Ovis aries: one gene and its partner. The protein of the gene in region 1 interacts with the protein of each later gene in a pairwise test. Links are inferred from orthologs where the notes say so. Each region holds a gene or a part of one and is shown on either strand. Other genes may lie near its edges.

Evidence for each region.
Region 2: the proteins of CDK5RAP3 (region 1) and TSPYL4 interact in binary tests that used the Homo sapiens proteins (3 or more experiments, as listed by UniProt). The two-hybrid records come from large-scale screens. The link is inferred for Ovis aries from reciprocal best matches to the Homo sapiens genes CDK5RAP3 and TSPYL4.

Annotation. Positions count from the first base shown.
Region 1 is NC_056064.1:38,227,654-38,231,253, forward strand, and holds the start of CDK5RAP3 (CDK5 regulatory subunit-associated protein 3), read right to left. Parts: upstream 2,524-3,600; 5' UTR 2,503-2,523; coding exon 2,497-2,502; intron 2,274-2,496; coding exon 2,228-2,273; intron 1,856-2,227; exon of another isoform or gene 1,814-1,855; coding exon of another isoform or gene 1,792-1,813; intron 518-1,791; coding exon 386-517; intron 107-385; coding exon 6-106; intron 1-5. UniProt on the Homo sapiens protein: Substrate adapter of E3 ligase complexes mediating ufmylation, the covalent attachment of the ubiquitin-like modifier UFM1 to substrate proteins, and which is involved in various processes, such as ribosome recycling and reticulophagy (also called ER-phagy).
Region 2 is NC_056061.1:21,674,331-21,678,450, reverse strand, and holds the start of TSPYL4 (testis-specific Y-encoded-like protein 4), read right to left. Parts: upstream 3,004-4,120; 5' UTR 2,898-3,003; coding exon 1,656-2,897; 3' UTR 1-1,655.

The DNA of each region.
Region 1 (3,600 bases):
CTTGCCTTCATTCGCTGTGAAGAGTACCGGCCGAAAATATTTTTTGTGGAGGCTTCAGTGCCTTTGAGAAGCTCCACAATTCTTAGGCAGTGGAAGTAGTGAATGTCTGGAAAGCAAAGAAAAACAAAGACTTTGGAAATAATAGTCTCTAACCCACCACTGCAGCCTCCGCATATGGCTGACTCATGTATATGCCAGTAACTTTAGAGGGCACAGCTCTCCCCTTCATCATTTTGTGTTGAAATAAACCAGCCTCTATACCCCAAATAAAAGCCTCTCTTTCTTTAGAGGTCAGTCCTATGACTAAAGAAAGAGGAACAGCTCAGCAGATTTATACCACCCCAAGAAAGACGGGGGTCCAGTAATGCAGCCCCGAAGCACTCACAGGATCCAGAGAGCAGCTGGGCGATCTCTTGGCTCTCTGGCATGTCCTGGATGGCGGCATTGATCTTCTCTCGGATGGTCAATACTAGACTCTGCCATTTCAGGTTGCAGTGCCTTCTATCTACCAGCCAGTCTATAGCAGAAACCCAAATCATAGCATTCCCATGGCCAAAACTGCATCACTGATTCAAGTGAAATATGCTAAGGCATTGGCTAAAAGTTGTACTCATATTGGTTAAGGTGTGGGGGTCACGGGAAGATGGGAATGAAGACAGGCTCAAAGGGATGCTTGGGGCTAAACAGATTCCAGCAACCTAACTTTATCCACAATGTGACTTTATAAAGTAACTGCCTCAACACAGGATAAAGGAAAGCTTTCAATTGGTCCTGACATCAAAGTGACACTTTGGACCACTCTAAATTCTCCATGATATTTTTGCTTCCATGGATAATTATATCTTTCTTACTGCCATTCAATTTCTACTTTCTCAGGGCTGGGATTAACCATGACAATGAAAAACACAAGTCGGTTACACCAAATACCAGATGAATGAACAACTGCAAAGCCCCTAAGGACTAAATAACACTGGTCTACTCTTATCAGCGAAGCACCATCCTGCACACATGGATACCAGTGTGACTGATCTCCTGGATTCTGGGCCAGATCTGTTTTCAGTTGAGGGTATAGGTGGATGAGAGCTATGTACATTTCCTCATAGGAGAGAGCTAAGACCTAGACTTTGTGGTCAGCTGGTCCTGGTTCTAATTACCAACTTTCTTGGGCAAGTCTCTCAACCTCTCTGTGCCTCAGTTTCTCTACATGTAAAATGGGCATGATAAATATACTGAGTACAAACGGTAGAACACTGAACATCATGCCTGGCGCATGGCAAGGGCTCAATGAATTGTAGTGGTCTTCATTTTCATAATGTTAAGCCCATAAAACAGCACTTGGTATAGAATAAACCCTCAATAAATGGTTGGGTTTTTACCAGTCCTTTTCAGGACCAATAACAAGCATATACATCAAGAGTGTACAGGTCCTGAAGAGCTGGGACAAATCCAAAATGAAGTTAAAGACGCTCCACTAAGTGGCCACCTTGCCCTTGTTAAGAAATCTGCTAACTGGTCAAATGCTGGGAGCCCACACTAGTTATCAGTTATATCCCCATTGCTGCACTCCACTAAAATCTCCAAAAACAAAAATTATGTAGATGTCACAGAAGTGGAAGCAAAGGGACGACACAGTCAAACAGATGTCATCTTAATGACACAACTGGCATCAAAACAATTAATTCAAAGACCATTTAAAAATCCAGGAGCTGTGCACTGCCCTAGAGGGGTCAGAGTGAAGAGGCCCTTCCCTGGCTCTGAACTAGAGAGGTGGTATATAGACGCGATACAGACAGCAGGGAGATGGTCTGGCCATTAAAAGGTTTTCTTTTCAACTGGACCTACGTGCCTTTTCCTCCTAAAGTCAAAGGAAAAAATAAAAAGGAAGAAAGTTTTTTTTTCCAGCGTAATACAATACTGGAACCTGACAGACTTAGGTTCTAACTTCAGATCTGCCATTCGGCAGCTGATCATCTTTAAGGCAAGCCTTCAACTCTCCTCTGTCCCTAAAATACATGACTGACAACATGTTATATACGTTTAAATAGAAAACACAGGTCAAGTATAGACTCTATGCATGGTTCCTTCCCGCTCCTTTTACTGAGGCAGGTCCAGCCACAGATGGGAGCACAGAACAGAGCGAGTGGTCGGCGGGTCCGCTGTTGGTGACAGAGGGCCAGGGGGCCAGGTCTCCCCTTGACAGCTAGGTGAGCGGGGGCGCCCCTCCTACCGAGTAGCTTGCTGGTCTGGATGTCGATGGGCACGTGCTGATGGTCCTGGCGGGAAACACGGCGGGGAAAGGTGCGTGAGTGCTGCGAGCTGACAAGCCGCTCGCGCGCTCACTTCATCGCCCCAACCGCCACCCTGTGGGGCCAGCACAACGGGCCGGGGAGGGCGCCCCCGGAGAGAGCCTGAGGAAGCATGTCAGGAAAGGACCGGCTGAACTCAGCCCAGGGGCCCCAGGGCAGCCCCCCATTTCCCCAGCTGCTGTTCCCCCACCTGCATCTTTCCTCCACTTCCGTTTCCGGCCTCCGACCGGGACACGCCCCGCCTACCACTAATCCAGGGCTGTTCTGGCTGAGCCTCGGGTTAGGCACAGATGGGTCTTCTCGGGCCACGTCACCGCCTTCCTCAGAGCCAATCGGGAAGCGCGCTCCATCCCAGGCCTCAAGCCCCACCCACGCCGGGGTTCCGAGTGGCTGAGCCCGGGAAGGGCGGGAGAAGAGGAGCCAGCCAATGGGAGACGCGAGGCGGGCTCAAGACCTGGCAGGAGCTGGGGCGCCCGGAAAGGGCTGCAGAGGCTGCAGAATCCCAGCAGGCGGCGCCCTGGAGCTGATCCCAGTCGCTCCCGGCCAGACAGGCGCGGAGCCCTCTGCGTAAAGATTAACGAGTCGGCCGACAGGGTCCTAGCGCCTACTGAGGAACCTAGAGGTCCTTGATGTTGTTTATTTATTTATTTTTTTAATGATGTCATTTTTTAATTTTGAACATAAGTGGGAAAAAATTTTGAATACAAGAGTAGAAATGCAATTCCAGAGGAAAACATTCCAGTGCATTGTGGTTCTTTGTGGGGTAGAAGATGGTGATAATGCTGCCCATAACTTGATGTTGTTTAGATACGCTCAGTCGTATCCGACTCTTTGCGACCCCGTGAATAGGAGCACTCCAGGCTTCCCTGTCGTAAACCATCCCCTGGAGTTTGCTCAGACTCATATCCATTGAGTCGGTGATGCCATCCAACCATCTCATCCTCTGTCGCCCCCTTCTCCTCCTGCCCCCAATATTTCCCAGCATCAAGGTCTTTTCCAATGAGTCAACTCTTCGCATCAGGTGGCCAAAGTATTGGAGCTTCAGCTTCAGCATCAGTCCTTCCAGTGAATAGTCAGGGTTGACTTCCTTTAGGATTGACTGGTTTGATCTCCTTGCAGTCCAAGAGACTCTCAAGAAGAGTCTTTTTAGAAACGCCCTACTTGCCTCGCTTTACCGTGGATCATGGTTTAAAAGTCTTTTTTGGCACATTACCTTCTCACTGAATTTATGTAATAGACAAGTGTTGAACACCTGCTACGTGTTATGTGATTAGGGCAGGGATGGGGAGGGAGG
Region 2 (4,120 bases), on another chromosome or scaffold:
GGATGCAGGCCCATGGGAATTCAGGGGAAAAAACAATACAGAGAACAGGAGTGACCCTCGAAATGCTGCCTTGGTTATTTCTAAGTGATACGAGGCCCCTCAAAAAGCTTCCAAGCTTAGAAAGGTGGAGTGAAACCAAATTCTTATTACCTTGGATCACAGCCTGCTCTGGGTCTGTCGTGAAGCCCTTCTGTGATCTCCCCTCAGCTTCTTAAGCTAAGGCTCAAAAAAACACACAGGTTTTGGGTAATGGATAAGGAAGAGTACGGGGCTGTCAAACTGGGCCCCAACGAACAATGTCCATAAGCAGGCAATTCACCCTACAGAGTTCCCTTTGAAATGTTTAGACTTTACTAAAGGAAGTGGGGTGGACACATGAGGGCAGAAGAGGGCAGTAAGAAAGCTGGAGTCCAGTGCACGGTATCTTTCTGGACACAAAGGGAAAGCAAAGTAAAAAGCCTGCTTTGCCAGTTTGTTTTCTCAGCTGTAACTGTTTATGAGAAGGAGGATGAGGAAGAGAAAAGGAGGAAAGCAGGAAAGTGAGAGAGAGAAAGATACATAACAGGCCCTACAGACCAGAAATACCTCTTCCTTGGTGTCCCCATCTTGGCAACTTTGTCATGTTTAGAATGGGTGCAGAAGGGGGACATCTAGATTAATGGTGGTTTGTTGGCTAGAGCTCAAAAAGGCTAACTGCTGGAAAGGACCTCCCACCAGCTTTGCTTTAGACACTGTGATACTATGACTGCCCATCCTGCCTGACAGCCAAGCAGTTTCCAGATAACCATTTGGCAAGCAGGGGGTGGGGGTCGAGCGGGGGATGGTTCCTGTGGGCTATCCAGGAGCTTAAGTCTCCAGATAGTTCCTAAAGAGGCAGGGAATGGTGCCTGTGCAAATCTCATCCAGAAAGCTGAGAGCAGGTTTGGGTGGGCCGTATCACAGGGCTTCATACTCACCACCACCTGGTCACAATGCAGAGTGACCAAAGGCATAAGATCAACATAACACAGAACACTTCTCATTTGTTACCTCATTCATGCCTAGTAACCACCCACCAGTCAGCTGCTTATTCTGCAAAATAACCAGCAGGGTAGATGGCATGGACCCAGGAAGACAGTTGAAAACCAGTTACTGGTAGCCTGGAATGTTCAGTTTAGGTGATGGCTGGCATCATCTCTATCAGCTTCATCTTGCAGCAGTGAAACTCAAAGATTTGGCCACAGAGTACATGGGTATCAGGACAGTCAGCACAAAGTATGAAGCCCAGCTAAGTAGCTGCAAAAGTATATCAAGCTTTTTCGTGGTAGATAACCGCTTTAAAAACTGGGAGAAGGCTACAGTCAGGGCCCAGAGCATGCAAAAGAAGGCAGTGGGTATCTACAGTATTATGTGCTTGGCACAGAAGCAGTGGAAGGCCATGCACTTGGAACAGTGGAACAGGATGCAGAAGAGCAGGAAGGCCCAGAAGAAGGAGAGCATTGGCATATAAGCAACCATCTTGCCACTGAGTTTTGAGAATTTAGAAGGATCAAAGGACAAAATAATCCAGTGTGAAGAAAGTACAGGGAGGACAGCATGCTGTTGGCTAAGCACGGGTCTGAGAGGAGGTGGGTGGTAGGGGAACTTGTGCAGGAGCTTCTCTCATAGGGCAGGAGTTAGCCGGACTGGAACCTGAAGGTCCTGGAACTCTCCACTGGCTGCCTTGCTGGGTCTCGAAATCCTCTGCGGGGCCCATCACCCATCAGGTAGTATTGGAGGGGATTGGGCCACAGTTCTGCTTTGATAATCTCGGCAATCCTGTCGAATTCTAAGAGGCTGTGGTCTGAGAACCAGTTGAAGAAACTGGGAATAGTGTTGCCTTCCCGGTTCCTGTGGATATGGGACTGGGGGTCTTGGCCCCTGTGCCAGCGGATTGGAGTGGAAAGAGACACCACCCGGCCAGAGGATCTGCGCTCATACTCCTTGACAAGCCCCTCGTTTCGGAAGTAGGGGTTGCTCTGAAAGATGAACTTGAATTTGCAGCCTGCTCTGGGGTGTTTAAGCTCCTCCACTTCCAAATTGATCATGTACCTCATCATGTCTTCATCTTGGCCACTGATCATAGGTGACAGCTGCGGGTGGTTGCGAAAGGCAGTGACCCAGAAACCTGGGATATTCTGGATAATGAAACTTCTGCGCTGCATATGCAGCCTCCGCATACGGCCAAACTTGCGCTCCAGCTGAAGGAAAGCTCTGTCAGCCTGGGCATTTACATTTGACAGTTCCTGATCGATGGCCTCCAGCGAATCCATGCAGTTATTGATCTTCGGGGCTCTGGCCCGGGTCTCCTCTTTCGCGCCTCCTACCACCTTTTTTTCCTTCTGCATAACCTTCTTTCCCTCTACCACCGCCTCTGTTACTCCCTCCTTTTCCCCTGCCGCAGAAACAGCGCACTTTTTCGTCATTTCCTTGGCCTTCGCTCTAGGCAACATCTGAGCCCCCAAGCTCCCTGCGCCACAGGCTTCTAGAGCCTTCTCGATTGCAGGGCTGCGTAGCTCTCTACGCTGACAGCCATTTTCCTGGCTATTGTCGGCTCCCACCGAGGTAGAGGCAGAGGCTGCTTCCAGGCCCTCCGTGGAAGCCGGAGCCTCTTTCTGGCCCGCTTTGGTCGCTACGCGGCCGCGACTCCCAGCAACTCGAATGCGGAGCGCAAGGCCACAGACCGCGGGGTCCTGGGCCGCGCCTCCCTCTGCGGCAGTCTCCAAGCCGCCCTCACCTGTGTCCGCCATCACCGAGGTCGCCTCGGTTTCCTCGCCCTGACACTGCTTGAGGTCCGGATGTCCCGGGGCATGGTCGGGAGTAGCGGGGCTGCAGGATTTAGCGATAGGGAAGCTGTCGCCCTCATCCAGGCCGCTCATTTTGGCAGAAGTCAGACCTGCAGGAGACCGACCGCGGTCCTCCGCAGCAGCAGCAGCAGCAGAAGCAGCAGCGATCCGCCCCTCGCACCACCCTTCTTTTCCACTCCGGAGGATGGCTGCTATGGCAACCTGTGACGTCTGGCGGTAGCGTCTTAAAATCGCGCGAGAGTTCGCTGAGCCTTCTGATTCTGCATGTCAGTTAAGTGTATTTGATTTTGTTTAAAAATATTATGAATTTTATTAGTCTGGAAGAGTTGGCTTACAGAAATGGACGTAGACAAACTCAAGCAAGTGAGAACTGTGTGTTAATGTGGATTTCTAAGATTGAATAAACTTCTAAGGTACCTAAACTGCTTTTTAAAAATACTTGAGATGATTTTTTAAAATTCGGAGCAGCTAAAAAGGAAAATTCCTCTCATGCTAAAAAAGACAAAATAAAAGATTATTCCAGTAGGCTTACACATTTCAAAGTTTATGTAGTTTGGCAAACATCTCTGAAGCAATTGGACAATATTTTCTCTGTAAGTAGCAAAATGTATTACTTAGAAGTGACCTACGCAGGTGTAAGAGAGCAAATTCAGCCTTTGCGCAATACTGGGAAAAACGTAATCAAAGGGGATTTTAATTGCTAAAATTTAACCTATTCACTTCAGTCAGTTCAGTTCAGTGACTCAGCCCTGTCCGACTCTTTGGGACCCCATGGACAGTAGCACGCCAGGCTTCCCTGTCCATCGCCAACTCCTAGAGCTTACTCAAACTCATATCCATCGAGCTGGTAATGCCATCCAACTATCTCATCCTCTGTCGTCCCCTTCTCCTCCTGCCCTCACCTTGCCCAGCATCAGGGTCTTTTCTGATGAGTCCATTCTTTTCATCAGTTGGCCAAAGTATTGGAGTTTCAGCTTCAGCATCAGTTCGTCCAATGACTGTTAGGACTGATTTCCTTTAGGATTGACTGATTCGATCTTCTTGCAGTCCAAGGGATTCTCAAGAGTCCTCACCACGACCACAGTTCAAAAGCATCAATTCTTCGGCACTCAGCTTTCTTTATGGTCCAACACTCACATCCGTAATGACTACTGGAAGAACCATAGCTTTGACTAGACGGACATTTGTCGGCAAAGTAATGTCTCTGCTTTTTAATATATTGTCTAACTTGGTCATAACTTTTCTTCCAAGGAGCAAGCATCTTTTAATTTCATGGCTGCAGTTACCATCTGCAG